7 separate regions of the Mus musculus genome follow, and all the other regions are reported to be linked to region 1. The links are microRNA targets in miRTarBase. Many come from high-throughput screens and were not tested one by one. Region 1 holds a microRNA gene; each other region holds the end of a gene's coding sequence.
The links. The annotated mature microRNA mmu-miR-129-1-3p reads AAGCCCUUACCCCAAAAAGUAU and lies in region 1 at 2,189-2,210, shown strand. An mRNA with a match to its seed (bases 2 to 7 or 8) in the 3' UTR can be bound and repressed. Matches are read on the target gene's strand: a 7mer-m8 pairs with bases 2 to 8, a 7mer-A1 pairs with bases 2 to 7 and ends in A, and an 8mer does both.

Region 2: the mRNA of Ndufaf7 is a reported target of mmu-miR-129-1-3p. Seed matches in the 3' UTR shown: 7mer-A1 at 621-627.
Region 3: the mRNA of Tmod1 is a reported target of mmu-miR-129-1-3p. Seed matches in the 3' UTR shown: 7mer-A1 at 2,490-2,496.
Region 4: the mRNA of Veph1 is a reported target of mmu-miR-129-1-3p. Seed matches in the 3' UTR shown: 7mer-A1 at 2,920-2,926.
Region 5: miRTarBase lists Ybey as a target of mmu-miR-129-1-3p. Seed matches in the 3' UTR shown: 7mer-A1 at 2,582-2,588.
Region 6: the mRNA of F10 is a reported target of mmu-miR-129-1-3p. Seed matches in the 3' UTR shown: 7mer-A1 at 3,100-3,106.
Region 7: miRTarBase lists Ccdc167 as a target of mmu-miR-129-1-3p. The part of its 3' UTR that is shown has no 7-base or 8-base seed match.

What each region holds. Positions count from the first base shown.
Region 1 is chr6:29,020,479-29,024,478 of GRCm38, forward strand. It overlaps Mir129-1 (microRNA 129-1), which reads left to right and starts at 2,141; the gene lies at 2,141-2,213.
Region 2 is chr17:78,946,711-78,950,786 of GRCm38, forward strand. It overlaps Ndufaf7 (NADH:ubiquinone oxidoreductase complex assembly factor 7), which reads left to right. Exons shown (of 10, transcript NM_028611.3): 10 at 165-1,342. The coding sequence ends at 380. Prkd3 (protein kinase D3) reads right to left here. Exons shown (of 19, transcript NM_001171004.1): 19 at 2,695-4,076. Among named protein-coding and RNA genes, the nearest start is that of Ndufaf7, 12 kb to the left of the region's middle.
Region 3 is chr4:46,113,669-46,117,744 of GRCm38, reverse strand. Tmod1 (tropomodulin 1) reads right to left here. Exons shown (of 10, transcript NM_021883.2): 10 at 1,713-3,431. The coding sequence ends at 3,367. It overlaps Tstd2 (thiosulfate sulfurtransferase (rhodanese)-like domain containing 2), which reads left to right. Exons shown (of 10, transcript NM_173033.3): 10 at 662-2,999. The coding sequence ends at 900. Among named protein-coding and RNA genes, the nearest start is that of Tstd2, 23 kb to the left of the region's middle.
Region 4 is chr3:66,053,264-66,057,339 of GRCm38, forward strand. Veph1 (ventricular zone expressed PH domain-containing 1) reads right to left here. Exons shown (of 14, transcript NM_145820.3): 14 at 295-4,076. The coding sequence ends at 3,842. Among named protein-coding and RNA genes, the nearest start is that of Ccnl1, 97 kb to the left of the region's middle.
Region 5 is chr10:76,459,603-76,463,678 of GRCm38, forward strand. It overlaps Ybey (ybeY metallopeptidase), which reads right to left. Exons shown (of 5, transcript NM_172550.4): 5 at 1-3,717. The coding sequence ends at 3,631. 2610028H24Rik (RIKEN cDNA 2610028H24 gene) reads left to right here. Exons shown (of 8, transcript NM_029816.2): 8 at 885-1,616. Among named protein-coding and RNA genes, the nearest start is that of Mcm3ap, 7.3 kb to the right of the region's middle.
Region 6 is chr8:13,055,177-13,059,252 of GRCm38, reverse strand. It overlaps F10 (coagulation factor X), which reads right to left. Exons shown (of 9, transcript NM_007972.4): 9 at 2,577-3,960. The coding sequence ends at 3,371. Among named protein-coding and RNA genes, the nearest start is that of Proz, 3.7 kb to the left of the region's middle.
Region 7 is chr17:29,701,044-29,705,119 of GRCm38, reverse strand. Ccdc167 (coiled-coil domain containing 167) reads left to right here. Exons shown (of 4, transcript NM_026782.2): 4 at 651-1,788. The coding sequence ends at 754. It overlaps Cmtr1 (cap methyltransferase 1), which reads right to left. Exons shown (of 24, transcript NM_028791.6): 22 at 4,037-4,076; 23 at 3,527-3,635; 24 at 1-2,966. The coding sequence ends at 2,825. It overlaps Gm28043 (predicted gene, 28043), which reads right to left. Exons shown (of 28, transcript NR_132314.1): 26 at 4,037-4,076; 27 at 3,527-3,635; 28 at 1-2,966. Among named protein-coding and RNA genes, the nearest start is that of Ccdc167, 14 kb to the left of the region's middle.

The sequences.
Region 1 (4,000 bases):
GGTGCAGAGGGTCAAATCCCAGCACCTCATGCATATTAAAAAAGCCCTCCTTCCAGCTGCCTTCCTCGCTTTGACCTTCGTCGTTAAAGGGTTGCACTGGCTACCTTGTGGAAACAGACCTTGTGAGGAGGTTAGAGGTTATGCTTTGAAGAAGTGGTGAGAAACGGCTAGAACAGAGGTTCCCAACCTTCCTGAAGCTGAGACCCTTTAATATAGTCAGCTCCTCATGTTGTGGTGACTCCCAGCCACAATTATCTCATTGCTACTTCATAACTGTAATCTTGCTACTGTTATGAATTGTAATGTAAATCAATATCTGGTACTCAGAATTATCTGGTATGTGATTCCCCCCCCCCCCAAAAAAAGAAAGTGGAGTAGTGACCTACAGGCTGAGACCCACTGATGGAGGTTCTGAAGAGCCAGCAATGTGCTAGTGAATGAGGCAGGAGCTCTGGCAGGACCCTGAGAGATTTTTCCCTTGAGCTGGGTTTTTCATTTCCTTGCGTAGGAGCAAGGACAACTCCACAGGGGAAGCCTGCAGTGCTATGCAGGCTTGTAGCAAACACTGGGCAGATGACCATGTGAAATAAAGAATCTGCAGAAGCCTTGGACGGGTGTGGGAAAGGGTGTGGTCAGTGCCAAAGAGAGAGTGTCCTCAGGGGCAAGGTTCATGTGAGAGAGGTAGGGGCTGCCACACTCAGCTTCCCATGGGAGACCTTCCCAGCCTGCCTGGTGGCCTTAATTCCAAGCCCGTATGACTCAGAGCAAAGCCATCGGGAGAATGTGCATCCCTTCTCGATCCCTGTCTCCTCCATCTTGTTTCTTTTGGCACAAGCTGCAGCCAGGTAAGGGAGTCAGGATCCAGAGATTTCCCCAGGTACTGTGCTCTGATGGACCATACAAAGCTGGAAGCAACGGGAGCCAGGGGTCTTCTGCAGCTGTGCTCCAGCCTGTGCAAGCTAGCAAGCCCACAGTGAGATGCCTGTGGCTCTGGAACCCCCTCCACTTTGGAGCACTCTCCCAAAGTGAATGTCCAGAAGGGGAAGCCCACCTGCTGGGCAGGGTGGGAGAAGATTCCCCGCCTTTTCCTCCTGAGAGTGAATGCAGGCCCCCAACAGGGAGGCAGCGTAGACATCTCTCTTACAAAGATGCTCTCCAAGTCTCACAGCCTGTGTGTCCTCAGGTCCTTCTCTGCAGTTTGCCCTGGAGCCAAGTTCTCTCATCCTATGACCGTTCTGTTCTCTTCCCTGTGCAGGTGCTGAGCTGGGCCAGCGGGTATCTCCAGGCAGCCTCTGCTAATGAGCTCTTAGCAGGTAAACAGCTCTTCCTTGACCCCCTTCAGGATATGCAAGAGACAGGACCGACCTGAGCTGGCACGTGGCTGAGAAGCAGAAATCATCCAGTCTACAGCCTCTTAATGTTCTCCCAGCTGGGACCTCTCTGCTCTCTGTGGCCGGGGCCTCAGGACCTCCTGGAAGAGTGGGACAGACCCAGGTTTGGGGAGCAGGGCTGCTAGGAAGCCTTCTACCTGTATTCTGGAAGAACTTAGGAAGAAGGGTCACTGTAGTTGTTTAAGACCATAGAGGTTGGGGGCAGGCCAAATGGGGCTGGCCTGGAGCCTCTACCTTTCTTCATCATACCATAGTATCTGCTGATGCTGAACAGAATCCATGCCTTCAGCCCAGAGCTGTCCAGTGACAGCCTCTTGGGGGGTGGGGTGGGGCTCTTGGTGAGTCCCCAGGAGGAGTTGGGGTTGTTAATGCAGTGGAATCCAGGACATAGGAGATGCCTGGGTTGACTGACTCCCAGTCATAGCAGGAAACTGTAAAATCCTCCTCACAGGACAGGGGAGGAGACAGATTCCAGCTGCCCCCGCATGCCAGAGCACCAACCGCTCTGTTCCTTACAAGCCTGCCAGGTGAGAATGCGATTGACACGGGGTGGGTAGAAGCGGGTGCAACTGGGGCTCCTGTCACCTGGCTGCCTGAATTTATCCTAAGGCTCCCCCTCTCTCCCCTTCCCTCTCCCACCCTCCTGCTCTCCAGGTCCCAGCTCTGCTTCCCTGACCCCATCTGCAGTCGCAAGCAAGCCCCAGCCCTGGAGGGGCTGCACCCTGCAACCTTCCCACAGCTGTCTCCTTTGGATCTTTTTGCGGTCTGGGCTTGCTGTTCTCTCGACAGTAGTCAGGAAGCCCTTACCCCAAAAAGTATCTACGGGAGGCTTGGTCTACAGGGGAGACCCCCAAGGGCTCCAGGTGAGTCACACCAAACTCAAGACTACCATGTGGATCCAGGGCGTCTTTGCCATACCTTAGTATTGCTGGGTGACCATGGATCAAGCCCTAAGCCTTAAGTTGGCAATCTTCCTAATGCTGTGACCCTTTAATACAGTTCCTGATCTTGTGGTGATCCCAGCCATAATATTGTTTTGATGCTACTTTGTAATTGTAATTTTCTACCAATATGAATTATAATGTAAATATCTGATATCAGGATATATATGACCCCCAAGTGAGTCGTGGCCCACAGATTGAGAACCACTGTCCTAAGACATTCTGTGCCCCAGTGACCTCATACCTTTCCTGATAGACAATGTTTAGTAGGAGTGGCTTTAGTCAAAGCCAGCGAAGGCCACTTGGGTAGATGTTGCTGGCTATCATGGGCACACCTCTCAGGGCTGTCACTCAATATGCCTAGCCCTCCTTCCTGGCATTGGGTAGACATGAGATCCAAGACAGGCCTGGCTATTGGAATCCTGGGCAGAGGGACCTGTGACTGGGAACACCACAGTTGATCCCAGCAGCCGAGTGAAGATGGTAAGCCTCTGCGGCAGGATGAGGTGTCTGCCTGCCGTCCCTTAGCCTGAGTCAGTCACCATGACCCCCTTTCTCCTGTGAGTCACTACTAGTCCTTCAAATAAAATCCTTGACTGCTCAAGTTAACTGAACGGATATCATTACTAACCTCTGATTCACCGCCATCTAGAGGGAGGAGGGGGGATTGCACACGCTAGAGAAAGGGGGCCGACTTGGGGGAAATCTGCGGTCAGTCATCCTTAGAGGAGGCGTTGAGGAGAGTCCATACACAAGGCGTGAGGTAAAATCCAGGGGAACTTTCTGAAGCTCCGTGTTGCAATAAAGAGCAGAGGACTGACATAGGAACATTTAAAGACCCCGCGTCCTCAGTTTCCAAAGGTGGTAAGGACAGGTGATGACAATTGCCGGTGGTGGCTCCTGCCAGTGTAAGGGAGTTGGGTACAACTCTGCAGCTGTGGTGAGGCACGTCAGGTATGGCCACATGGGCATCCATCTCATTCACCTGTGCCCCCACCCTACTTCTGTGCTTCCTGGTTCTATGCCGTTCCTTATCTGGATCTCTCTGCTCTTTTTACGCCCAGGTGCGGGATGGGTGGGCAACCCTGGACAAAGAATGGGGTGTCAATCTCATTGCTAACAAAGTCACAGATCTTGAGAAACAAAAGCCCCCAGAAGGTTACCTCCCTGTGCAGAACCACAGGAGGCAATTCTAAGGGGATATGTACGCTGGTGTGTGAGTCTCGCCGAGTTCAAGGGTGGCAAGGGAGCCTACGTGGGGCTGCTGGAGTGTGCTGTGGCAGTTCAGGAAGGAGAGCTGAGTTCACAGGTCAGAAGGGAGAACTGCAGGTGTGGGGGGTGAACGCCACCACCTGGAGACAGGAAGACATCGGCGGAGAAGGCACGACATGGACAGGCCACATTACAAGGCTGACTCATGACCACAGGAGCTCAGGGTCCCGATGCTCTCTGACTTCTCAATTCTGGCCCCAACAAAGCAGGTTTGCTAGGCCACGGTCCCCAGCATGCGGGTTGGAACGGGATGCGTAGCTCAAGGGCGGCATCGTGCGGTCATCTTGGGGAACTTCACCCTACATCCTCTATTGAGTGAGGGTATTGCTGTCTGACTCTGGAGGACAGCAGTCTTTCCTTGCCGGTTAGGGATTTCTGTGCCAAGCAGTCCCTCCC
Region 2 (4,076 bases), not on the chromosome of region 1:
CTAACGATGCAGATGTATACATTTGGATCACAGCATCCTACAGTTAGAGGACACTGTGATCCCATCTGGGGAATTGCTGTACTGCATCATTTACATCATTAGTCCTGTGCTGGGGAATGCTTTTCTTCTGGTGATGTTCCTTAAAGGCCTTTCTTTCCGCTCAGGTTCTCTTGGATAAAGCAGGTGAGCCATCTGCGAAGCAGCAGCTACTTGGAGGGTATGATATGTTAATGAATCCTCAGAAGATGGGAGAAAGATTTCACTTCTTTGCCTTGCTACCTCATCAGAGACTTCATGGGGGGAGTCAAGAAAGGAATGCCTGCCAGTCAAAAACCCCCTCCTCCTCTGTAGCTGGGTTTGATGAACTTGTTTGGCAGTGATACTTCAGCTTGAACTTTTATTCCTCAGTGGGCCTTAAAAATCAAAATAAACAAAATTCACTTTGCATATTGAAGTAACATAAGTTTTCAAACTAGTATCTCTTTTCAGTCAATAAAAATAGCCTGTTTATGCTGGGCAGTGGTGGCGCATGCCTTTAATCCTAGCACTCGGGAGGCAGAGGCAGGCGGATTTCTGAGTTCGAGGCCAGCCTGGTCTACAGAGTGAGTTCCAGGACAGCCAGGGCTATACAGAGAAACCCTGTCTCGAAAAAACAAACAAAAAAACCAAAAAAACCAAAAACAAACAAAAAATAGCCTGTTTATATAAATACAATCAAAATGGTAGAATGTCAAAGGTTATAACTAACTCTTGGTATAATTGTTTTCAACCCAGTAAAGTGATTTATTGTGAAATTGTCTCCTTATCAACTTACTGTATTTCTATTTGATTTTTAAAAACACATATGAGCACTGATTGGTTTGTTAGAAACTGGAGATAAGGTAAATGGCTATTTCAAGTCAACAGATCTGGGTATTTTTAAAGGGCAAAAGCAGTCAGTGTATTCTGGTAGAAGGCTCTCTTAGGGTTAGTAAATGGAAGAAGTCAGATGTGCGTTTCTAGAGTTAAGATCCTGTTTTTGCTAAAGGAAAGAATTAACTGAGTACGTCAGTATAGACTTAGTTTCCTGTTCTGTGCACAAGTGAAGGAGGAGTAACTGGGAAGGAGTCGGCAGCTCTCCACTCTGGAAGCAGGATTCGGAAGGATTCCAATGCCTCTATGGATGAACGTAAAGAGTGGTAACACAAATATTAAAGACGTAAGAAATAAAAGTCATAGTTAGAAAAACCTGTACCAAATCTGACTTTTACTGAAATAAAAATTAAGAGTAATGTTAACTCTCCAGGAGGAGCAACTTCCTAAGCTGAGCTCATTCTCAGATAAATACACAATTTTAGCTGTGAATTAAGTTGTCTGTAGAACTTTCCTATTAATGCGGTGAATGGGCATCTGGGGACGTGGTTAGCAGCAGCAAGTCCTATGAGGGGCTTAGGTGGACATGGGATTAGCCATGGGATTTGAACTCAGGACCTCTGGAAGAGCAGTCGGTGCTGTTAACCACTGAGCCATCTCTCCAGCCCCCATCACTTATTTCTCTGTTGCTGCTTCTGCTTAGCTGAGAATGGCATTAACATTCTGTGTCTTGGTCTGTAAGAAAAGAAGGAATGACGCCATATTTAATTGGTGTGCTATGCTGTATGCACACTTCAGCCACAGCACCTACAGTTTTTATACGTACCCTGTGACTAAATTTAGGGCATTGCATTTACACGTGAAGGTTTATAGCGGGTATTTTTTTTTTCTCCATTGCTGTCCAACTTTGTTTTTGAGACAGCATCTCTGAACTCAAAGTTCCTTAATTTGACCAAAGATTGCATCCCTGCCCCTTCTGTAGCAATGTCACACTGGGTTACAGGCATGTAACCCCATGGGCGCTGGGGAGCCAATCTGAAGCTCTTCTGGTTTGTTTTTTGTTTCTGTCTTTGTTTTTAAGATTTATTTATTATATGTAAGTACACTGTAGCTGTCTTCAGACACTCCGGAAGAGGGCACCAGATCTCGTTATGGATGGTTGTGAGCCACCATGTGGTTGCTGGGAATTGAACCTTCGGAAGAGCAGTCAGTGCTCTTAACCGCTGAGCCATCTCTCCAGCCGGAGCTCTTCTGTTTATGCAGCAGGGACTTTATCTTCTGAGCCCATTCCCCAGGCTTATGCTCCCAGCCTTAGACCATTCCTCATCGCTCTGTTCTTCTTTTCTATCTCTAAAGCCACCGTTTCATGTCCCTCTCCCCCCCACAAGGACCAGGCTAGAACATTTGAAAGAAGTAAATACTGACAGTTGGCTCCTCCCACATACAGAATTGGTTTCACTTTTTATAATTAAGAGGGAAGAGTCTAGTAGTGCTTTCTAGTCTCAAATTCTAGAAATTTGATTTTTCATGAGACCTTTGATTTTTCTAAGTCTTTTAGTAATACCTAGGATAGTCGCTCAAATATTTAATTATCATTATTCTTTGTATTGTATTCCAATAAATGAACCCTCTAGATAATTATCTCAAATGCAGTATACACCTGAAATGACTTTAAAGGGTTGTCTTTCACAGAGGATATATAAATATATATGTGCTCATGTAGCATTGGCTATATTTACAAAAAAACTCCTGTTACTCAGGCCCGGGGAAAATATTATAACCAAATACAACTCTCTTGAGATCCTTATACTAGAGATGGTCTAAGGTTTTCACATAGGAAAGTATGGTGATAGAGAAATACATTTTATTATCAAGTTTTGAGAATATTTACAAAAAGTGGGATGTAACAAAAAATATAAAATGTACTAAACAGTGTCATTATACACTACTTTGAAAATTGTCACATGTTTCTAAGAAACAATTACTTTCATATATGCAAACACAGCTTGGCTTTAAGACAATGACAAAAAGTTATGCAGGTTAAACAGTGGAGTGGTTACTCAACTCCGCACCGTGACAGCGCCTTTACAGTCTCTCTTTAAACAGCACAGGGCTTTGACAAAAACAGAGTGCAATTAATGTCATGGCTTGTAAAGTCTGATTACAGAAGTACAGCAAACCAGCAGTCATTTCAGTTAGTTCTCACCTCCCATGGTAAAACCACCGTGGGCTGCCTAGTGACACACACGAGTTCCACCTTGTACATACTGGTCAAGCAGACTTAGCAGAAATGGAAAAATCCATTCTTAGAAGTTTCTTAAAATTACTCTTCACAACTACTGTATGAAAACAATTACAGAGACAGTTTGGAAAGTCTTCTGGAAATTCTTACAGATGTACAGTACATTGTCAATGGCTGGGACGGGTAAAGGGATTGGGGATATAGGCCTGGGTTTAAATCCATATTTAAACTCAATGCACTTTGACAACTAACCCTGTGCCTCAACTTTAAGTGTGCTTAGTCATGTGACTATTGTGAGGACAGTTCAAAGCATAAACATTTACAACCGGGCACCCCTGCTGTTTCTGTCACCTCAAGAACATTTTTAATTTTAGACAGATCACTGCAGCTGCATTCTCATCTGGGATGGCACTTAGTTTTGGTCTGCTCACACACACAGTTTTTCCTTTGCTATCTCAGAGCCCGTGGTAAGCGACAACCCTGGCATTCCAGATTGTCACAAGTGGTCACATAGCCCAATCTTCACAGCCACATGGAGGAAGGCAGAAGGAAGAATTTATGGTGTCTACTCTACAGACTGAGAAACTAAGTCAAACAAATGCTCAGACAATGTTATCTGCTCAGCCCCACAGATCCACAGAGTAAAGACACTTAGGCTTAAACCCAGGCTTTCTCATTCCAAATTCTTGCTCTCAGCACAGAAAAGGAAAAACAACAAGAAAAACCTGTTTTGTTTTTGTTTTGTTTTTTTTTTTTTGTGACTAGTGAGGAATGAAGAAACAAACAGCTACTATATTTCTTGTGAGAGGATGGTCCTGGATCTTTTTCTCTTTGGGTAAAGCACAGGTGGGAATATCACTAATGTGGAAATCTGAAGGACTCCAAAGTTTCTTGAATTTGGAGGATTTCGGATTTGTAGGTCAGGGATGCTCAACTAGTAGAGTGTGCAAACATTTCAGTATCTGGCAGTGAAACCTTCCTG
Region 3 (4,076 bases), not on the chromosome of region 1:
CTCAAAGGTGACCAGCATTGGCCAGGAGGAGTTGGGTGGTCAGGTGTCCTGGCAATGGCCTTCGATGGTGGCCTGGGGTGGGGCATTGTGCATTCTACAAGTTGGTTGTAATGTGGGGTCAACTGTCTTTTGGTATGTTCTCTTCCCTGGGAAGGGAGGTTATCTGGGGAGAGACTAGGGGGTGATACGCTGGTTTCAGAAGCCCTTTCTCAATGGAAGAAGAGCCATGGGTGGAGGAAGAGGAATCAGAACACAGTTCCCAGAAGCAGCCTCTCCACACCACACCCCTCGCCCCGCAAAGGCCTTCTTCATTCTTAGACGACAGGAATAGTGTTTTTCTTTTAATCTATCTGTTTGAGACAGGGTCTCACTGTACACATAGCCCAGGCTATCCTTGAATTTACAATCTTCCTGTCTCAGCCTAGCAAGTGTTTAGGTCATAGTGAATACTACTCTTCCTGACTTGGAAACATTCCCTTGGACCAAAAGAATATATTAGATTCTAGTGAACTAAGAGTTATTTTAGGAATTGGAATTTATCTATGCCTTCCCCCTATAACCCCCCGCCTGCCCCCCCTCTCTCTGTCTCTGTCTTCGTGGTGTGTGTGTGTGTGTGTACAGGCAAGGGAGAGAGAGAATAATAAAATCCTTTCTTCTCTAGAATGTTCATACTGCGGAGCCCCATGGGACCAATACAAACTCTGCTCTACTCCCCAATGCCGCCAGCTTGTGTTGACCTGTTCTGCCTGTCAAGGACAAGGATTCACAGCCTGTTGTGTCACGTGTCAAGACAAAGGGGGCAAGCAGGCTTCAGGCCCCTCCCAGGACAGTTTTAAAGAAGAATGTGAGTGTACTGCCCGGAGGCCACGAATCCCACAGGAACAGCAGGCACAGTCATGAGTTCAGTCCCTGTGAGCCTGGACCTGGGCCTGGTGTTCCGCATTCACTGACACATGCAGACTTAAGTTGCCATGTGCAGCTTGAGACGGTATAGAGACAAATGGAGAGCATCCATGTTGGTCACTGCCAGCACAGCAGATGGCCACAGGGACAAGGGACAGGGAGTCAGTGTCAGCTGCCTGATTTGCCATTTGATCCAGAGGATGCTACAGCCTGGAACAAAGGCAAACCCTGAGGAATCCCAACGATGTTGAGGGATTATCTTGAGCTTGGCGGCTTCTCTGCCATGCTGCAGGGTGGTAGGCATTGCTCTTCAGCAAACCTTTTTACCCTGACAGCAAAATTATAAAAGTTGGGCCCTGGGTGTAGACTCTTAAACCAGGCCAGCTCTTCCCTAACTGCCTGAGGCTCTGTGGCTCTGATCACCTTGTGCCTTGAAGCATTTACTAAATTTGCAAACCCATTTTTCTATATGTGATCATGGCACTACTGAGTAGTTGGCCAGAGACCATGCGGCTTCAGAATCTAAAGTATATTCTGTCCCTTCACAGAGGTCCTCTGAAAGAGGTGGCCCATGCTTTTGTTGATGTGGTTTCTTTAAAGATGTTCCTCTAGCAGCTTTGCATTACCCAGCATCCCTCTCTCAGCTTGCAAGTGTTCTCAGGGATCTAGACGAGCAGCAGGCTTAGGTCAGCATCTGCCACACAGACACTTGGTCGGTGAGCTCACTCAGCATGGTAGCTGCCTAGCCTCCTGGCCTTTGGGCACATATTCTTATCCCACGATTCTTAAGAAGCACACAGAGCCACACATAGACCAAATGGCTTTAATATTATTTTGCAGTTTCCAGTGATGCAGAATGCAGCTGCAGTTGTGTTTCAAGGAGAAGCTGAGTGGGGCTGGCTGTCCCTGCAGCTTGGTGCCACTCCTGGGCCCGTGTGCAGCCTCAGTGGACACTCAGTGCTGAGGCCCCGATGCCACCTCTAGTTACCCTGTACTGTCCATACTGTTACAGTTCGGTGTGCAGGCTTTCTCTTAAGTCAGAAGCCCCCTGGCTATGCTCAACAGCTTTTGAGCCTTATCATTACTATAATATTGGCTGAATCCCTAAGGAAAATAACTCCCCAAAACAACAAAAATACTAGTTTAACTGGCACTGTGGTCTATTAAAAGGCACAAGAACAGTGTATTTGAACATTTTTACTGGCTCCCATGGTGTTAAAAAAGGAAATCCAGTAGGAACACCAAGATTAGGTTTCAGAGTAATCCCGTGTGTTGTTTGGCCAGGATCTCCTAATTCCTTACCATTAAGATGCTGTACTCTGCTGTCCTCTAGAGGCTTTGTTTGTAGGCAAGAGCTCTGTGTGATTTGATTTGTCTCATAAATGACCAGGCAGGCACTTGGTGTCTGTAAGCAGGGCCATGCTAAATACCACAGGCATGGTGGACTGGAAATTCACCCAATGGTGTTGATCTCACATAAGCCATTGCCCACTGTGGTATAGGAAGATGTTTTTATGTGGCTGTAAGTTTTCTTTTTTTTTCCTTTTTTTTTTTTTTTTGGTTTTTCGAGACAGGGTTTCTCTGTATAGCCCTGGCTGTCCTGGAACTCACTCTGTAGACCAGGCTGGCCTCGAACTCAGAAATCCGCCTGCCTCTGCCTCCCAAGTGCTGGGATTAAAGGCGTGTGCCACCACTGCCCAGCGGCTGTAAGTTTTCATCCATCATGAAGTTGGAATTCAATAAAGAAGAAATGATTTCTGACTGCAGATGAGTACCCCGCAGGTGTTCCCACAGCACTCAGAAGGATGTCTGTTGCCTGGTGTGGTGGGTTTTGAAACTTGAAAATTCACCATTGCCTTTTTCTCCCTCTTTATCTTACCTGGCAAAAGGAATCCTGTGTCTTTCTGACTCTTAGAAAATTCTGTGGCTTGTCTTTCATTCTTAGGGGTGGGGGTTTGATCCTGGAATCAATTTGGCAGCTTTAATCTTGATGTCAAAGTTTCAAGTGGGGGTTGACAGATCATGATTATGTGTTCTTTTTACTGAGTTGCTACGATCAAATTGGAAATAAAAGATTGTTTCACCACGCTTCCAAACTAGGTGGGAAGAGTGCTCTGTGCTGGTGCGTCCCATGTTGTAAGTGCACCTAGGCCCCAAAGCAGGGCCGCCAGGGGGCTCCTGGGCCGTCTCTGCCAGTGTCACACTGTCTGCAGCAAGGCCCGCTAGCTTGAGGGCTTCTGCATGTTTAAATAATTACCAGACTGAACTTCTGTGCCTAAAGAAAAACTTCACATTAGCCATGTTTTATAAAAGGTCCGACTACAGTCTAGTTAACCTAAACCTCAGTGCACAAAGAACTGAGCCACAAGAGCTCCACGCCAGCATTCGTCCTGGGCTCCACTGGGGCACACGCATCATCGGTAGAACACGTCCAGTTCCTAGGCGTGGGCTTCCCTTCGCATGCTAGACACCGCTGCGGCACTTGGGGATAATAGGCCCCGTCAGGTCTGCGAGCCTCCTCTTCCTCACTACAAAGAAATGAGAAAGAGATGTGATCCAGCTGTCCCTTGTCAGTCACAAATGACACTGGCTTCACAAGGTCAGAGTCTGCTTTTCAAAGACAGTTATAAGAAGGCTGTATGGTTTGTCCTTGGTTACTAATGAGTCTGTGGTAAGGTGTACATAGTCTCCTCACATCTCTTCTAAATGTCTGACCACACAGTCCCTCTCCCCCATTCGCCTTTGCCAGTTCCTACAGGAGCTCCACAATTGAAGACTGGATCCGAGCAAAGTTAACTTTAGCTAGTCTTAAGACTGGAGTCTTCGCCAGCTAAAAATGTTTCCCCTTGCTCCTTCTGGGAATGCCTGGCCTGCCTCCTGCTTATGTTAATAACTGAAAATTGCCTGCACTTGTCATGCCCCCTCATATTTTAACAGTGACATTTTCTCAGGAGCAAGACAATTCATGCTCAGATGCTGTACATATGACAGTGAAGCCTGTAGACAGGGAAATATGAGCCAGAGCCAGGAGATTGCAGACAGGAGATGAAAGCTTAGTGAATGGCTAGGATGACCCCTTTGGTACAATGAGAGGGAGCCTTGTATTGTCTGATGAAGACTAAGAAGTAGGCTATATTCACTGCAAGAGAACACAAGGTCAGGGAAGGCCATAG
Region 4 (4,076 bases), not on the chromosome of region 1:
TGTCTTTTTATTTTGGAGTCTCCAGGCCAGGTATGGTCCCTGTTTGCTTAGCAGGTTCTCAGTAAATTGCTGCTCATACAGATTGCATGCATGTGTGTGTGTATGTTTCTGAGACTGTGTGTGATTTGTGTATATGGTGATTGCATATGAGTATGTGTGTACTTACTTATGCCTGTGGAGGTTAAAGCAAACATCAGGTTTCTTCCTCTGTGGCTCTCTGCCTTTTTGACTCAAGACCGGGTGGGTCTTCGTTACTTCTCTATTGCTGTGAATGAATACCAAAACCAAGGCAGCTATAGAAGAAAGAGTTTATTGGAGGTTTACAGTTTCAGAGGATAAATATATTTCCATCATGGCAGAGAGCATGGCAGTAGGCAGGCATGGTCCTGGAGCTGTAGTTGAGAGCATGCATCATGAGGCATAACCATGTGGCAGAGGCAGGTGGTAGGGTGGCTAACTTGAAACGCTATGGGCTTTTGAACCCTCAAAGCCCACCCACCAGTGACACACCTTCTCCAACAAGACCACGCCTTCGGATCTTTCCCGAATAGTTCCACCAACTGGAGATCAAGTGGTCAAATAGGTAAGCCTATGGGGGCCCTTCTTGTCCAAACTACCATATGGAGTTTCTCACTTGGTCAGAAGTTCATGACTTCAGTTGGACTGATGGCCAAGGAGCTCTTGGGATGTACTTGCCTCCAACTCCCAGTGCAGGGAGAGTTACAGGCCCCCAAAGCCATGCTGCGATTTTCATGTATGTGTTGCTGATTTGACATCAGGGGCTGATGTGTGTAGGCAAGCTCTCTCATGATTGAAACATTTCTCCGGCCCCTGGATACAGAACTTGAAAATTATTCTCTATCACACTTAGCAAACTTGACCTTGTCTTTCCTTGTCTATATTTATTAAACTGTCTTCTTTCTTATGGTGACGTCACCTAAAAACAAAATAAGAAACCATTCATCTATTCTGCTCTTTCACCTTAACCCCACCTTTTAAAAAATTAAAATCCAGCAGTCGATTACTACAGCACATCGAAAGTTAACTTTTACTGCATTGTTCCAATGAAATTGTTCTTACTAGTGACATCAATTGCTTCCTAATTATGAAAGTCAAGTTCTATCTTCAGGACTTCAAATTGCTGACATCCTGAAAATCCTTCTTAATTTAGCTTTTGTAATATCATGTCTCCTGGGCTACATCATCTCTGAATACTGATCAGCTAATCTAACCTGCCTTTGTCTAAATATTGTTATCCCAAGGGGTCATTTTCAATTCTCCATTTCTTATGTAATTCAGCCAATTCCATTTCTTTCACAATTACCTACATATGCAGTGGACCCAAAATTTGACCTCTTGAACTCTATTTCCAGCGTGTAATAATTTCTGTGGCTCATAATATCCTCAAACTTTACATGTTAAAATTGAATTAAGTTTCTTTGCTCAAGTATGACCCCTTTTACATTTCCTATGCCAGTGAGTTAACTGTAGTGTCAGCGCGGTGACAACTTTTCTGGGCTTCTCTGCTAAAATACATAATAAATAAATTTTACAGAAAAAAGTTATCTTTGATATATTACCAGCGGGGTTTTATATGAATTAATCAGTGCATAACAAATCACCACATGGTTTGCATTTAAAGCAGGATACATTGTTACTGCATAGTTTCTGTGGGGGCAGGACTCCATCTTATCCCGGCCCTCTGAGCAGAGGACCTCATAGCTCCGAACAAGGTGATGGTGGGCTGGATCCCGAGAGGCTCACTGTTGTTCAGGGTCACGTGGATGTTGGCACAGGCTCACTCCTTGCCTTGCAGCGATAGTTCCGTGGCAGCTTATTCAAGTTCACTAGGAGAGGCTGACGTAAATAACTTAGCTGATAACCTGGCTATTCAGGATGTATCAGTTTACTTAAGACATCTGAGAGACCTTAATTCATCTGTTAATTTTAAAATTTCCGTTGTAATGTAACACAATTGTAGGAGAGACAATTCTGTCACCTTTGCCATATTATGTAAGTTAGAAGCACGCTTCAGGTCCCACCCTCCACCACTCAAGGGGCAGAACATTATTACGGGGCACAGGTCACTGGATGTCACCTAAACTGCCTATGGCAGCTTAATTCAAAATTATATAAGGGTAATAGGAAAAACCAATAAATGCTTATAATTTGGGCACTACAACGCTTAACACAGAGAAGAAAACCACAGAATTTTAATTAAAAAAATCTTCAATTTTAAGGGAGGTGATGCATATATTTACAAAGAAGAAAAGGTGTCTTTCTATTCTTATTCTTTTTTACTGCCTCAGACAGTAGATAGAACCACGTGTCTAAACATTAAAATCCAATTTACACTCTAATAAGAGCCTAAATTTAATTATGTAACTGGAATAAGAGTCATTGTAACATGTGCTGCCATCTTCTGTGTTGAGAAGATAAATGTTTAAGTGTGGTAATTTAAATAATTGAACAATTTTAATGCCTCCATATGCTCACATATTTGAATGCGTGGCCCCATTGTAGGACTGCTTCAGGAAGTTACGGAGCCCCTGGGGGGGCGGAGCCTTGGTAGAGGAAGTACATCGATGGAGGTGGGCCTTGTGGTTTATTACCACACCCTACTTCCCACCTTCACTGCTTCCTCGGTCTAAATAAGAATCAGCCAGCATCTTGTTCTTGCTGCTGTGCTTTTTCTGCCTGGTGCCATGTATTCCCTGACACAATGGACTCCATCCCTCTGGAACCATAAACAAAATAAATCCTTTCGCCTGTACGCTATTTTCATCAGGGTATTTTGCCACGGAACAGAAAGCTAACTAATATACTGAAGTTAATGGTTTTCTTGAATGTACCTTAGTTCAACTTTTCCTAATTTTTTTTTTTTTTGAAGGATGGGGGTTGAGACAGTGTTTCTCTGTATAGCCCTGGCTGTTCTGGAACTCACTCTGTAGACCAGGCTGGCCTCGAATTTAGAAATCTACCTGCCTCTGTCTCCCAAGTGCTGGGATTAAAGGCATGCGCCACCACTGCCTGGCTCCTAATGGTTTTTAAGCTCTTGTCTCTAGCTGCATATGTATCAAAAGATGGCCTAGTCGGCCATCACTGGAAAGAGAGGCCCATTGGTCATGCAAACTGTATATGCCCCAGTACAGGGGAATGCCAGGGCCAAAAAGTGGGAGTGGGTGGGTAGGGGAGTGGGGGGAGGGTATGGGGGACTTTTGGGATAGCATTGGAAATGTAAATGAGGAAAATACCTAATAAAAATATTAAAAAATGTCTTTAATGTGACAGTTTTCCTTCAAGATGGATCTTTCAGGCCTCTGTTGTTTTAAAATTTAATTAATTAATTAATTAATTTCTTTTTCTTTTTTAAACTGGGGAAATAGATGTGCCATGGCATGCAGAAAACAGAGGAAAACCGCCAAGAGTTAGTTCTCCTTCCACCAAGTCAGTTATGGGGCTAGAACTCAGGCAATCTGGCTTGGCAGCAAGTGCCCTTTACCTGCTGAGCCTTCCTGCTGGCCCCACTCACTGTTTTCTTACAGTCATAAATCACATAGCTACAGAAGTTCTTTTATTCGCAGCGTTCCCTTTCTGGCCCACACGATCCACTGTGAACTCCGTGGCCTCTCTTTCTCATGAACTTCAGGCAGAAAACTTGGAGTTAATACCAGAGTTGCGAGGGCGTGAGGTTTACTGAGAACCCTGCCATTTTAGGCTCTCCTTAGGGATAATGGTTTCCCTGGTATTTAGTGAAACCCAATAGCGCCATGGTGGGTTCCTCTTTGTTGACACTGGCAATGCTTATCTTGCATGGCCATAAGAGCGGGTGTGCGAATCGCTACAGATATGTGGTTACTTCTCGGCTTTCCCTCTCCTTTGCCTGGGCCAGCGCCACGTTGATGCACTGCAGCCATTCCTCTGCGTTCTTCTCATCCTTGGCTTTGAAAACATAGGTCTTACTATCTGTGAAGATTTCAAACGCCCGAGGCAGAGAGCGGTCCCGGCGTTTCTTAGCCACAGCTTTCACGCTCTGTACCTTGCTGAGTTCTATCGGGGAATCATCAGGGTCATCC
Region 5 (4,076 bases), not on the chromosome of region 1:
TCCGGGCCGACATGTATCTCACACAGGAGATTGCGGTTGTCGACCACTAGGCTTGAAAGCTAGGGGTTTTTATAGAAAAGGGTCTGGGGCTGGGGGAGGAATTGGCGCGGTTTCACACGATTGGTTCATTTAAACATCAGCAGAGTGTATGTGCAGATGGAGGTAACAGCAGAGCATCTGGTTAACATTTAACCCATGTCAGAAGGGTGGGAGATAGGGAGGCGCCAGGCCAGTCTGGACATGTCTTTGCATTCTCTTTATCTTTATGGCCAAGCAGCCTCAGGAATGTCTTAATGATGGGCCTGCCCAGGCATGTCCTGGCCTGTTCTGCTATGTTCTCAGTCCCAGGCTTCAAAGCTCACAAACAACTCTTTGGGCTATTACATGAATCACAGGACTCAAGTTTTATTTTCTTTCAATAGCACCACATGGCAATCCACAACTCTCTGTGACTCCAGTTCCAGGATAGTCAATGTCCTCTTCTGACCTCCAAGGGCATCAGGAGTGCACACATAAATACACACAGGCAAGATACTCATACTTATAACATTTTATAATCATAACAAGGCCCAGGTACATGTGAGGTCCACATGCATGCACGTGGGCACTGCAGGCTGTGTAAGTATGGGTATTTACACACGCTGTTTACAAAGCACTGTTCACTCCGGGAGGGTTGGATGGTTGCTCTCTCTCCTCCATCTCCACCCCAGCCCATCAGGTAGAGAAGAATCCATAAAGACAGACCTGTCTTTCAGTGCGCCTTGGGGTGTGGTTCCAGAGAAACTTGGTTTTGTTAAAAGCACCAGTTAAAGAGCTCACATAATTTCCTTCCTAGATGATGTTTCTAACACGATTTTCCTCTCATATGATTATTGATCTGATAGAAGGAAGATATTTGGCAGATGTTTTGTCTCAGATGGCCTGGCAATGCTGGGCTAACAAGGAGGAAGTAGCCTGGGAGCATCCTGGCTCTGGGAGCACCATCAGCCTCTGGAAGCTATGGGAGTGTACATGGACCCACCCTCACACACAGTCTTCCCCGTCCCTTTCAAGCCTGCTGTCTGAGGACCACCTGTGGGAGACTAAAGAGTCTGAGCAGGCCCTGTAGTGGGCTTAGGGGGTCCCCAGTGACTCAGGGAAAAGCTTCTCCTGGCCATGCCCCTTAACAGTGGTGACAGGGACTGCACCACTGTGCACAACTTTACTCTGAGAAGATGCACAGTACGCCCCAGAGATTTTAAAGATGGCTCAAGTGTGTGAGCGGCCAATCCACAGAGTCCATGAAACTCTCATCAAGATCACAGGCCCCAGCTGGAGAGATGGCTCAGCGGTTAAGAGCACTGACTGCTCTTCTGAAGGTCGAGTTCAAATCCCAGAAACCACGCAGTGGCTCACAACCATCTGTAATGAGATCTGACGCCCTCTTCTGGTTTATCTGAAGACAGCTACAGTGTACTTACATATAATTAATAAATCTTTGGGCTGGAGCGAGCAGGGCCGGAACGAGCAGAAATCCTAAGTTCAATTCCCAGCAATCACACGATGGCTCACAACCATCTACAGTGTACTCATATACATAAAATAAGTAAATCTTTTTTTTATTAGGTATTTAGCTCATTTACATTTCCAATGCTATACCAAAAGTCCCCCATACCCAAGTAAATCTTTTTTAAAAATTAAAAAACATCACAGGCCCTTCAGGGAAGTGAGGGACGAAATGAAATCTGGAATAAACACAAAGTGAGGAAGCCCCAAGTGAGGATGCTGTGCCTCCTGGAACAGGGCAGATAGTGCCCCCTCAGGCTTGGAGTCATCATAACAATGTGGCTGGACTCAGAGACAGCTGCTGACCAACCCACAGATTTAGGGCAGCTGAGCAACAGGCTGGGAATGTGGCAGAGCCTTGCCAAGCCTGACAAGATCCTGGATTCCATGCCCAGAGCTGCAAGGTCAAACCAAACCAAAAACAAAAACAAAAAAAAAAAACAAAAAAACCCCCCAAAAAACCAAAAAAACCAAAAACCCCACCAAATTAAACCAGAAATACCAAGCAGAGAAAAAGGGAAATAGAAAAATGAAGGGCACAGAAGCAGTCATTCCTTAAGGATGCTCAAAGGCGAGGAACCAGTTAGATGGCCGAGAAGAAGGGAACAGGCTGGCATAGGTGTATATGCGGGTACACCCAGCAGAGGGGTCAGGAAACCCTATCTAGGTTCAAGGTCCCTGGCTACCTGCTGGGAAGACTCTCGTGATCCAGATTTGCACAGACATTTGCATGTTGCTTTGAACTAGACTTCAGGTCACCAGAATTCCATGTTCCAGGCCTTGAGCAGAACTACCATGCCTCTAACAGCCAATAGGGGAGCCCCAGTGGCAGGACTACGGTGGCCTGCAGGATGTCAGTGGGATGGCAAGGCTGACAACCAGAGTTCCATCTCTGGGGACAAAATAATAAACGAGAGAGACATCTCCCCCCAGCTGACCACCCCACCCCCCGCAGTGGGAAATGTGTACCCACACATGACACACACCAAATAAAATCCTTTTTTTTTTTGGTTTTTCGAGACAGGGTTTCTCTGTGTAGCCCTGGCTGTCCTGGAACTCACTTTGTAGACCAGGCTGGCCTCGAACTCAGAAATCCGCCTGCCTCTGCCTCCCAAGTGCTGGGACTAAAGGCGTGTGCCACCACTGCCCTGCTCCAAATAAAATAAAGGTCATCTAAAACAATTACAAACAGCAACACAGATGGGGGACACTCCTGACTCTCTGGCCCCAGGAGACAAGGTCTGTGGGCTGTCCCGTGGTGTCTGCAGCCAACAGCTTAAGAAAGGCGAGGGCACAAGGTGTCCTTTTGGGCTTGCTGGTCTGCAGGCGCCTCCTCCTAGGAGAACAGGCTTCAGTGTTCTGGCACGTTCCTCCCACTTCAGGGAGACAAGGCAATCTGCCCAGACTCTACAGCTAGAAACCCAAAGAAGCACAAGAGCGTCCATGTTTCTTCTCTTAGAACGCCTGATTCTGCTTACAACAGAGTCCGCATAGATTTCTAATCAGAGTAAGGGCTGACAGGCACTTCCTTGGTACTTGGTCCACTCACAGAGTGAAGCTGTAGTGTGGGCTGAGGCCCTCCAGGGCAACAGGACCAGCAGAGATCCACTGTGGAGGTAAAAAGGCCAGCTTAGGAAGTTTGGGAAGGTCATGAAACACTTGCCCCTCCAGAAGGAAGAGGCTAATTAACATTTCTCAGACCTTAGGGCAGAACTGCCCTGTGGGTGGGGACACATCCTGCAGGACACCTTCAGACAAGGGACGTCCTTGTCACTTCATTCCCTAAAGACCAATCAGTTTAAAGGGTGCACTGCTCCGCCAATCACGTTGTGCCTAGTTGCTGATGCTCTCTTCTGCCCCTGGAAACCATATAAAAACTCCCTGAATGGGTGCTGGGGGTCGCCGCCTCTCCTTCGGGTCTGGGAAGACCCCAGTGCACTGGAACAAAAATTCCTCTTGCTTTTTGCATCTATTCCGGCTCCACGTGGTCCACTCAGGGGCTCCCTGGTAAGCAGAGGCTCCCTGGAGTCTTGCAGAGGGACGGGACTCTGTCCAACAAGTTCTCTGTCTCAAAGCTCTGTGGCATCAGTAGAGGCCCCTGCTCAGGGGTTGGAGCCTAGCTCCCGTGTAGCGGCTCAGCTCCTCCAGCACCAGCTTCTCCTGGTTGTACATCTGGAACACAGCAGAGCACAAGCTCTGGAGGGACTCTGGGGACCCTTGTCCCGAGTCCGAGTCCTCCCAGGGTTCACCTCCTTCTGAAGCCCCCCTAGCCGCTCCCCCAGGCTCTGCACAAGTCTATCAGCAGCACCTGAACAGAGACTCAGAGAGCTGTAGGTAGATGCAAGATCAAAGGACAGGACAGCAGGGAGTGGGCTCCCAAAGGAAGGGGGAGAAGCTGGGGTACACATGGGGCCCAGGGAAGTGTGGGGCAGGGAGGGAGTGGGCATAGACAGGGCTGGGTGGTAGCAGAAGCAGACTGCGATCTACTTTTAATTTGAAAAAAAAAGTTCATTCATGGGTGCTGGAGAGAT
Region 6 (4,076 bases), not on the chromosome of region 1:
ACCTAGGACCACTTTAAGTAAATTCTTTGGATGAAATTAAGGCCCAGGCAAGGGGAGCAAATCCCCAGAGCTGAGGAGGAGTGCTGGGCCTGCTCTTCCTCTGACCTCCTGCTCGCCCACTCTCTGGGCATGGGCTGATCCGAGGACTGATAGGCAGCATGTCCACTCTAGAATCAGCTTCCCCAAACCATCCAGGATATAAAACCCCTGAAGACATCTGAGGCTCTTGTTCCTCAGCCCCGAGAGGGGTGTGGCCTCTGTGGAAGCTACCCTCTAGGAGCAGTCTTTTCTCCGTCTGCCATTTGCTAGTAAGAGGCCAAATCTTTTAAGTTCAGACTCGATTTTAGAGAGCCTGACCTAAGCTGAACTCAGGTAAACTAACAGTCAGGTACCTAGCATTAGTTCCCAAGTTGCCCCTCCACAAAACCGGAGCCTAGCTCCAGTCTCTAGGCTAATCCCCAACAAGACCAGCATTTCCAGGTCACACCCTCAACAAGATCAGTGTCTCCAGGTTATTCCCCCAACAACCCTGCACCCCCAGGTTACAAGCCCACCCCCTGCCTAACAACCACCAATGCAGAGGGAAGCAGAAGTTAAGTTTATGATAGGACTCCCAGCAGCAGCCAATTATGTTAAAGTCCATAGTAACTTCCCAGTTAGATGCTTGCACACTCACCCCATCCCTGCTTGCTCCTTACCATAAAGCCTTGCCCCGATAGATATTCAGGGTTCCCCCACCACCCAAACCATCCTGCATTACGACAGTGCACTGGGGCAGTCCAAGCTAGCTTGAATAGAATAAAGACCCTGCTGTGAGTTGTATCAGATGGGCTCCTGTCTGGTTTTATTTGGGGGGGGGTTCAACCCCTCCCTGCCACTACACTAGGTCTTATTTCTGGAATCCAAAGTATTCTTAGGAGCAGAGCCAAGTGAGGACTGCTCTTTTCTGTTTCAGTTTAGAAGCCATCACCATCTGCCCTGGCAATCTGCACTCTTCATTGCTAACACACCCGGGGAGCCTGGGTCCCCATCAGCAGCACACTGAGGAGCCTGGTCACCAGAGCCTGTGCCCACATTGCCAGCACCACAGAGCTCCTGGGTCCCGACTGCCAGAGCCACAAGGGGAGATACCTCACTAAATCCAGGATTAACTTTCCCAGCCCTGACACTCAGTATCTGGGTGATGGATTTTCTGCTTGTTTTGAAATTATTGGTGATATTTTTTATCTTAATGTTTATTGTGGTAAAATATGTATAACATGAAAGTGTTCTTGAGTAAATTGACTTTGAAAATTACGTCTTCAAAAATAATGTATTTATTTTTTTTTAATTATATGTGAATTAGTGATTGTCCTGCATGTGCGTCTGAGTAGTTGGGTTCCCTGGAGCTGGTGTTAAAGACAGCTGTGCGCTGCCATGTGGGTGCTGGGAACCCAGGGCCTCCGGCAGAACAGTCAGTGCTCTTCACCGCTGAGCCATCCCTGTAGCCTGAAAACTCACATTTTAGTGTCTCCTCAGTTTCCCCCGTGGGCTGACCCCACACCCACACAGAGTATCGGGCTTGTCTTTCTATTGATTCAGGGACCTGTGTGGATGCTGACCTTGTCCTGGGGTTGTTGGAGCCCAGGGAGTTCTTGTTCTTAAGGACAAAGTCCATCCCCAGAGGCAGGTGAAACTGTGATCCTCCCACTGCTGACCTGCAGGCAGGGCCAGGGGACCACGCTACAGAGCAGGTGTTCTCCAGGGTCCACATCACTGTCCCCGCTGCAGCTGCTGAGGTCAGCTCTGCTCTCAGACCCTGGCCTCACTCTCAGCCATTATGGTTCTAGGAAATCAAGTGTTGTTTTTGTTTGACTTTTCCAAATGTTGCAAAATCTGTTTACAAAGGACTCTGTCCAGCTCTTGATTTGGGGGAAGTTTTGTACTGGAACCTTTACACTTTGCTTAGGAAAGTTATGTAAAGTTCAAGCTATAGGTACTTTTGGGAAAAAGTTACTCTATTTACTGAATGTAGGCTTGGTTTCCACATTTAATTTGGGGCTTGGAAGCAATAGAAGACTAGAGGGGAGAGACATGCCCTGAACCCTGTCCGGCCACATCATGCCACTCAACGAACACCTGCTGGGATGGCATGATAGTGTTATATAGGGTTAGGCTCACTCTCGGGACTTAGGATTGGATGTCTGGGATAAGGCCAGGACTTAGGTTTTGCAAAGACTGCTGAGCTCCTAATCAAAGCTGGGGCTAAGACCCACATACTGGTGGGGGTAGGATCTCTATTAGCAACTGGTGAGTTGATATTGTGATTTGATATTGTGTTCAGGAAGAAGGGCCTGTGTACATTCAACACCCTGGTTAGCTCAGGGGAATTCCATGCATACACCAGGCAGCCCATCTCGGAAGATTCTTGTGTGCTCTTACCACACAGCCCAGTCCAGGGAGATAGCATGCACACTCAGCATTCACTCCAACAGTCAGCTCAGCACAACGTCTATGCACACTCAGCAGACAGCATGGTGTGGGAAGACTGCTACACACTTACAGGCAGCCCAGCACAGGATTGTGCGTGGCTTGGATCCGGGTAAAAGGTTCCTTTATTTAGACAAAGACCTTAGCCTCTCTTCCCAGGAGTCTTTACTTTCAGTGGATGTCACGGAACCAGTAATTCCATGTTGCCTAGTTCCCAGAGGACAGTGAGGGTTCTCTGGCCAGGCTAAGGAGTAGCAGAGTCTAGGCCTCTCAACCTAAAACAGGGGCTGAAGTCCCTGTGTCTGTGTGTATGTGTGTGTGTGTGTGCACGCGCGCACACACACATACTGAAAATCAGAACCATATGCTATGTCTATGGGCTCCATCCAAGTGTGAGCAGACACCGAACCCCCTAGAGCCAGCGACTCCCTGAGTGTCTTCTAGTCTGGTTCAGGAAGAGAGACCTTTGCTCACTTGCAGCTTCTTTCTTTCTTTCTTTCTTCCTTCCTTCCTTCCTTCCTTCCTTCCTTTCTTTCTTTCTTTCTTTCTTTCTTTCTTTCTTTCTTTCGTTCATTTGTTTGTTCGTTCGTTTGTTCGTTCATTCATTTTTTGAGACAGGGTTTCTCTGTGTAGCCCTGGCTGTCCTGGAACTCACTCTGTAGACCAGTCTGGCCTCAAATTCAGAAATCTGCCTGTCTCTGCCTCCTGAGTGCTGAGATTAAAGGTGTGTGCCACCACTGCCCGGCTGCAGCCCGTTTCGTATACCATGAAGTCAAGGGAAATAAGACTGAGGGAAAAGACCCCACCACAGGTGGGGCAGCTGCCCCAAGAACATTCCTGTTTAAGGTGGCAACATTAAACAACACCAGATGTGACCCAGCAGGACTGGAGAAGGACTGCTTTAATTGGGCGGACCTGCTGTCCTTGGGGTCTCGGCTGTGGGTCCCACCCTGGCTTTCATGGACCTGTCAATCCACTTGAGGAAGGTCGTGACCTTTGTGTAGATGCCATATTTCCCTTTCCTTGCACACCCCTCTCCCCAGCTGACAATGCCGGTCACATAGTAGGTATTTTTGAACCGTGTGACATGGGGGCCACCACTGTCCCCCTGGCAGGCATCCTCTAACTTGGCCTCATAGCCCGCACAGAACATATTCTGTGTGATGCTGAAGCTGGTGGAGAGCTTGCAGGTGTTGCGATCCACGTAGGGTACCTCCAGCATCTTCAGGATGTTCGACTGGCGGCCCTTCTCATGCGTGCGTCCAAACCCGCTCACGATGCCCGTCTTCTGTGTCATCAGTGTGGACTCGGCCCAGTCTTTCTGAGGCAGGCAGGCAGGGGCCACGTTCATCCGGAACGTGATGGGAGTCTTCAGCCTCAGCACGGCGATATCATAGTCGTAGGTGTCCCTCTGAAACTTGTTGTGCTTAATGACCACGTCCACCTCGTGCACCATCTCGTTGCCTTCTTCCTTCTCTGTGTTCCGATCACCTGGGGCCAGAGAAAGAGAGAGAGGATAGGGCTGAGTTCCCAGAGGGCCACGTGTTTGTGATCTGCTGTGTTTAAAGAAGCACACCTTTAGTCCCATCACAGAAGGATTAGAGGCG
Region 7 (4,076 bases), not on the chromosome of region 1:
CCCACATCTACAGACACTGGTTTCTGCATCTCATGTCCCACCCCACCAGAACAACCTAGACTGGGTGTGGTAGAGGATGGTCCTTACTCGGGGCAGGAAAGGCATTCTGTGGGTGGAGCGATGCTGCCACCTTCTGGGGTGCTGGAAGCAGAGCCAGGCAGAGCCCAGCACCCTCTGCCCTGAGGCTAGAACTGTGGTCTGCAGAGAGCTCTTCAGATGTGTCCCATCCCACCTCTACTCAGCCCAAAGCCGGCTGCCAGTTCTCCTCTTAGTCCAGTGCACAGCTAGAGGTGGTGGCCAGGACATCAGTTTAGCCTTTGCAAGGTAGAACCTGTACCCAATGGAGCAGCTGAATTCAGGAGCAGTGTGAGCCCGAGGAGGCCCAGCTGTCCTGAAGGATGAGCACGGTAGAGCCTCACACATACCGTACTGTACTCACAGAGGAGTGGTTGAGCAAGTCAGGCCTGCCCTTATGTCTAAGTCTAACTTAGGATTATGAGGGTCTGGGCAGATGAAAGACAGGGCCGGGTTTTGGGATGCGACAGTGCCTGGAAGGAGACGCCTCTTTTCATCAGAATGTCCATTCTGAGAAGCAGAAGCAGCTAGGTGAGCCCCAGTGTTCTGTTTCGTTTCCATCTTTTTCCTCCCAGAGAAAGAGCTAAAGCTGCTTCGACATGAGAACCGGAAGAACACGCTCCTCTCGGTGGCCATCTTCACTGTCTTCGCCCTGCTCTATGCTTACTGGACTATGTGAGTCAGCCATCTCCAGCCACTAGAAGGACGTGGTAGTGCTTCCTTCTGCTTAGTAGAGGGGCAATAAAGAGCCCCAGGCTCTGCTGTCTGGCAACTATTTCCTGCTGACAAGGTGAGGGTGAGCAAGGGAGGCACTCTTATTTCAAAGATGAAGGGATGTTCCAAAATTCTTATGTACAATTCAGGAGGAAGGGAGATGTGCAGCTGGGAGGGCAAGCTCTGTGCCTGCCACCCGCAGCTCCAGCCTGCCCTGGCCTGTGATTATTACCACTGAAGAAAATGCAGCATGCACGGGAAAAGGTGGCCTGGGCTTGAAGTGGAGGTTCCAGGGGTATGCGGAATCATCTCCTCTTCCAGAGACAGGCAGGGCCAGGGAGGCCTGCAGGTGCCCATGGCCAGCAAGTCTGGCAATGACCAGACTGACATGGTGACAAGAGCCAGTGAGTAGGGTGGGGGTGAGAAGGAGGAGGTGGTCAGTCAGGAGCAGCCCCTAGGATTCTCCCCTAGCTCCACTCACAGTAGAGGGCCCTAAGGGAGAAAGAATGCTCACTGCTCCATTCAGGAGCCTGCCAAGTAAAGCCAGGCTGTGAAACATGAAGAATCGGCTGGAGGCAGCTCACCAACATGTGCGATGTTCAGGTGAAGGAATTCTCACCTGGGGCTCATGCAGAATGTGGCCTCTTGTGGAGGCGGCTAGCCAGAGTCAGCAGAAGATCCTTTCTCCTGTCTCGTCTAGTGACAGTAATTGGTCTGAAGCCTCTGCTATGTTAGTCACACAGACTGATCCTGGACTGCCACAGTGCTGCCATGCCATGCAGTGAGTTGTGTGGTGAGCTCATTCACCCCCAAGTTCTGCTTTATACCGGAACTGTACTTTGATAAGCCTTTGGGCTCCCTGTCTAGCAGATGGCAGTCTCAGGAGCTGGAGAAGCTTGGCTTCCACAAACACTCCCCTTCCTCAGTTACACAGCACTGTGGACAACAGCAGCCCAGCACAGAGCCACATGAGCAGTAAAAATATGTTTAATGATCCAAGATTCTGTAAGACACACTGATAGACCCAGAATTAGGTGCAAATATGGCATCCCAGCACTTGCTGCTAGGATTGGGGTTGGGGGCTGGTGGAAGGGACCTCCCATGGTGGAATCAATTCCAACCTCACAGGTGCCTCAGTGCCCTATCTCCATGGAAACCAGTCTGGCACTGGCATGGGGCCCTAGGGAGCCTGCATGAACATCTCTTGAAAGAGATTTCCCATTAGAAACAACCACAGATGCCCTCCCCAACCCAAAGCTGTTGCCATTCCTCCCTCTTACAGAGACAGGAAATGGAGTGACTGACTATAGACAAATCAAAGCAGATCGCTATGTACCTCCTAGTGGAGAGGAAGGAGCAGCTAGAGCCACTGCTAGCTCAGAACTCTGCCAAGAGCTTCAGGTGGCCTGGACTGCTAGAGTAACTTTCTGTTACTGCTGAGACAGGAAGTCAAAGGGCAGGTTTTTAGGCTGCTCTTCCCCTGGAGCTGCCCAGTGCTTACCAGAGGTGGAAACTCAAGGAGCAATTATACCCAGTACCCAAAGCGCTGATGTTTGAAAGGTACTGGGTCCACACTCCTTCCCGACCTGCCAGGACAAACTCCAGGATTGGGGTGAAGAAAAGACCACAAGAAACAACTTTGATTGGTATGACAGCTGCTCCTGGCCAGCATGTGATGGAGGGCCTTCATATTTGGGTGGCCTAGTAGAAATGGGGCAAAACAATGGCCTGATTGCTCTCGAGGGCAGTAAATGGAACTCAGAACACTGAGTCGACAAATTCCAGAGGGAATGACTCTGACAAGTCCTAAGCGCTGACCTGCCCTTGAGCAGCTGCTTTTCAGGTTGACTCCAGTTCTCAGACAGCAGAGTTTCACAGCTGTGTCCTAAGGCCCCGAAAGAGCTCCTTGGGAATGGGGAGGAGCCCATCTCCCTTACGACCAGGGAGAACAGTCCCAGTTCCTTTCCAAGAGGCAGAAGAAACCAGACACTGGGCCCTGCCTTAAGAATGACAGGACATTCATCAGGTGGAAACCCTAAGGGCCTAGAGGATTGTGACTCTGGATGAAGGAAAGGACGTCCTCCTTGGACAGCTTGTCTGGATCCTGGGGCTTCTGGGAGTCACGCATGTGGAAGCCATCTCCCCACTCCCAGAAGAGCCGGCTGTAGTAGCAGGTACTATAAAGGGGTGGAGGAAGGACCCATCAGAGTGCTGTATCTAGGTGGTGCAGGACCAAGAAACCACTAGCAGGTCCCCAGATAGGTGCTTTTATACTGGGTTCTGTCAATGACTCAAGTTGAGAGATGCCCCTCTGGCATCTAAAGGTTCCACCCAGTAGGCCCCAGATCCTCCCATGCCTCTAAGAACTAACTTTTGCTGCCACAACCTGCATCCAGCTAGACTATTGGTGTTCCTAGCTCACCTGTTCCACTAAGGTCAGTATTAGCCAGCTACAGAAACAAGTGCTCATGGCTAATTTGAGGCCCTATTGGGGCTGCGATAGAAGCTCATGTCCAGCAGCAATCTGACCAACACGTCTTAAGGAGGAATACCTGAGACCCTGAGTCATAAGGGGCAAGCTTCTTACAACATGTTCCTCCAAACTCTCTGGCAGGTTCCCCTCCACCACCTAGCCAGTCAGCTCTCTACCCAGGATCTGGATGAATCAGGTCCACACTTGGGGCAGCTTCTTTCTGCATGGCAATGATGGGTTCCAAGCCAACGGAGGGCTACTTACTGAAAGGGGGCAATGGATTCTGTAGGGAGAGCATAGACGGACTTCTGGGTTTTCTTATTGTAGAAGAACTTCCTGTTATTGCTCTTGCTAAATCCCATGGTCCATGGCTCTGAGGGAGACAAGGGCAGGCACTCAGGACAGTCCCCATGGGCGTGCCCATCCTTCCTTCCCCTGCCTAGTCCCTCCAGCTTCCAATAGCCACACCCAAATGGCAGATTATAACCTCCCCAAGGCCTAGCCTGGTCCTCAGCATTACAAGGGTGACGTCTCCAGCCTATAGGGAGGGGTACACAGTGGAGAGGCCATGCTTACCCGCTGAGAATACCTTATAGGCATCTACAATTTCATCTCTCCCTGCTCCCAGCCAAAGGCCAGAACAGGCCCAAATTGGGGGTGTTTCCAGCAGGTACCTCAGAAATTGCCAGCTGACTGCTGTCCACCTCAACAAGGAAGCCTTGAGTCAAGTCCCCCTTGCTGGCTAGGGGGCAGGGACAGTCCCTCAGTACCTACCATTTACGGTCCTGACAATGTAGACACCTGTGGGCACAAA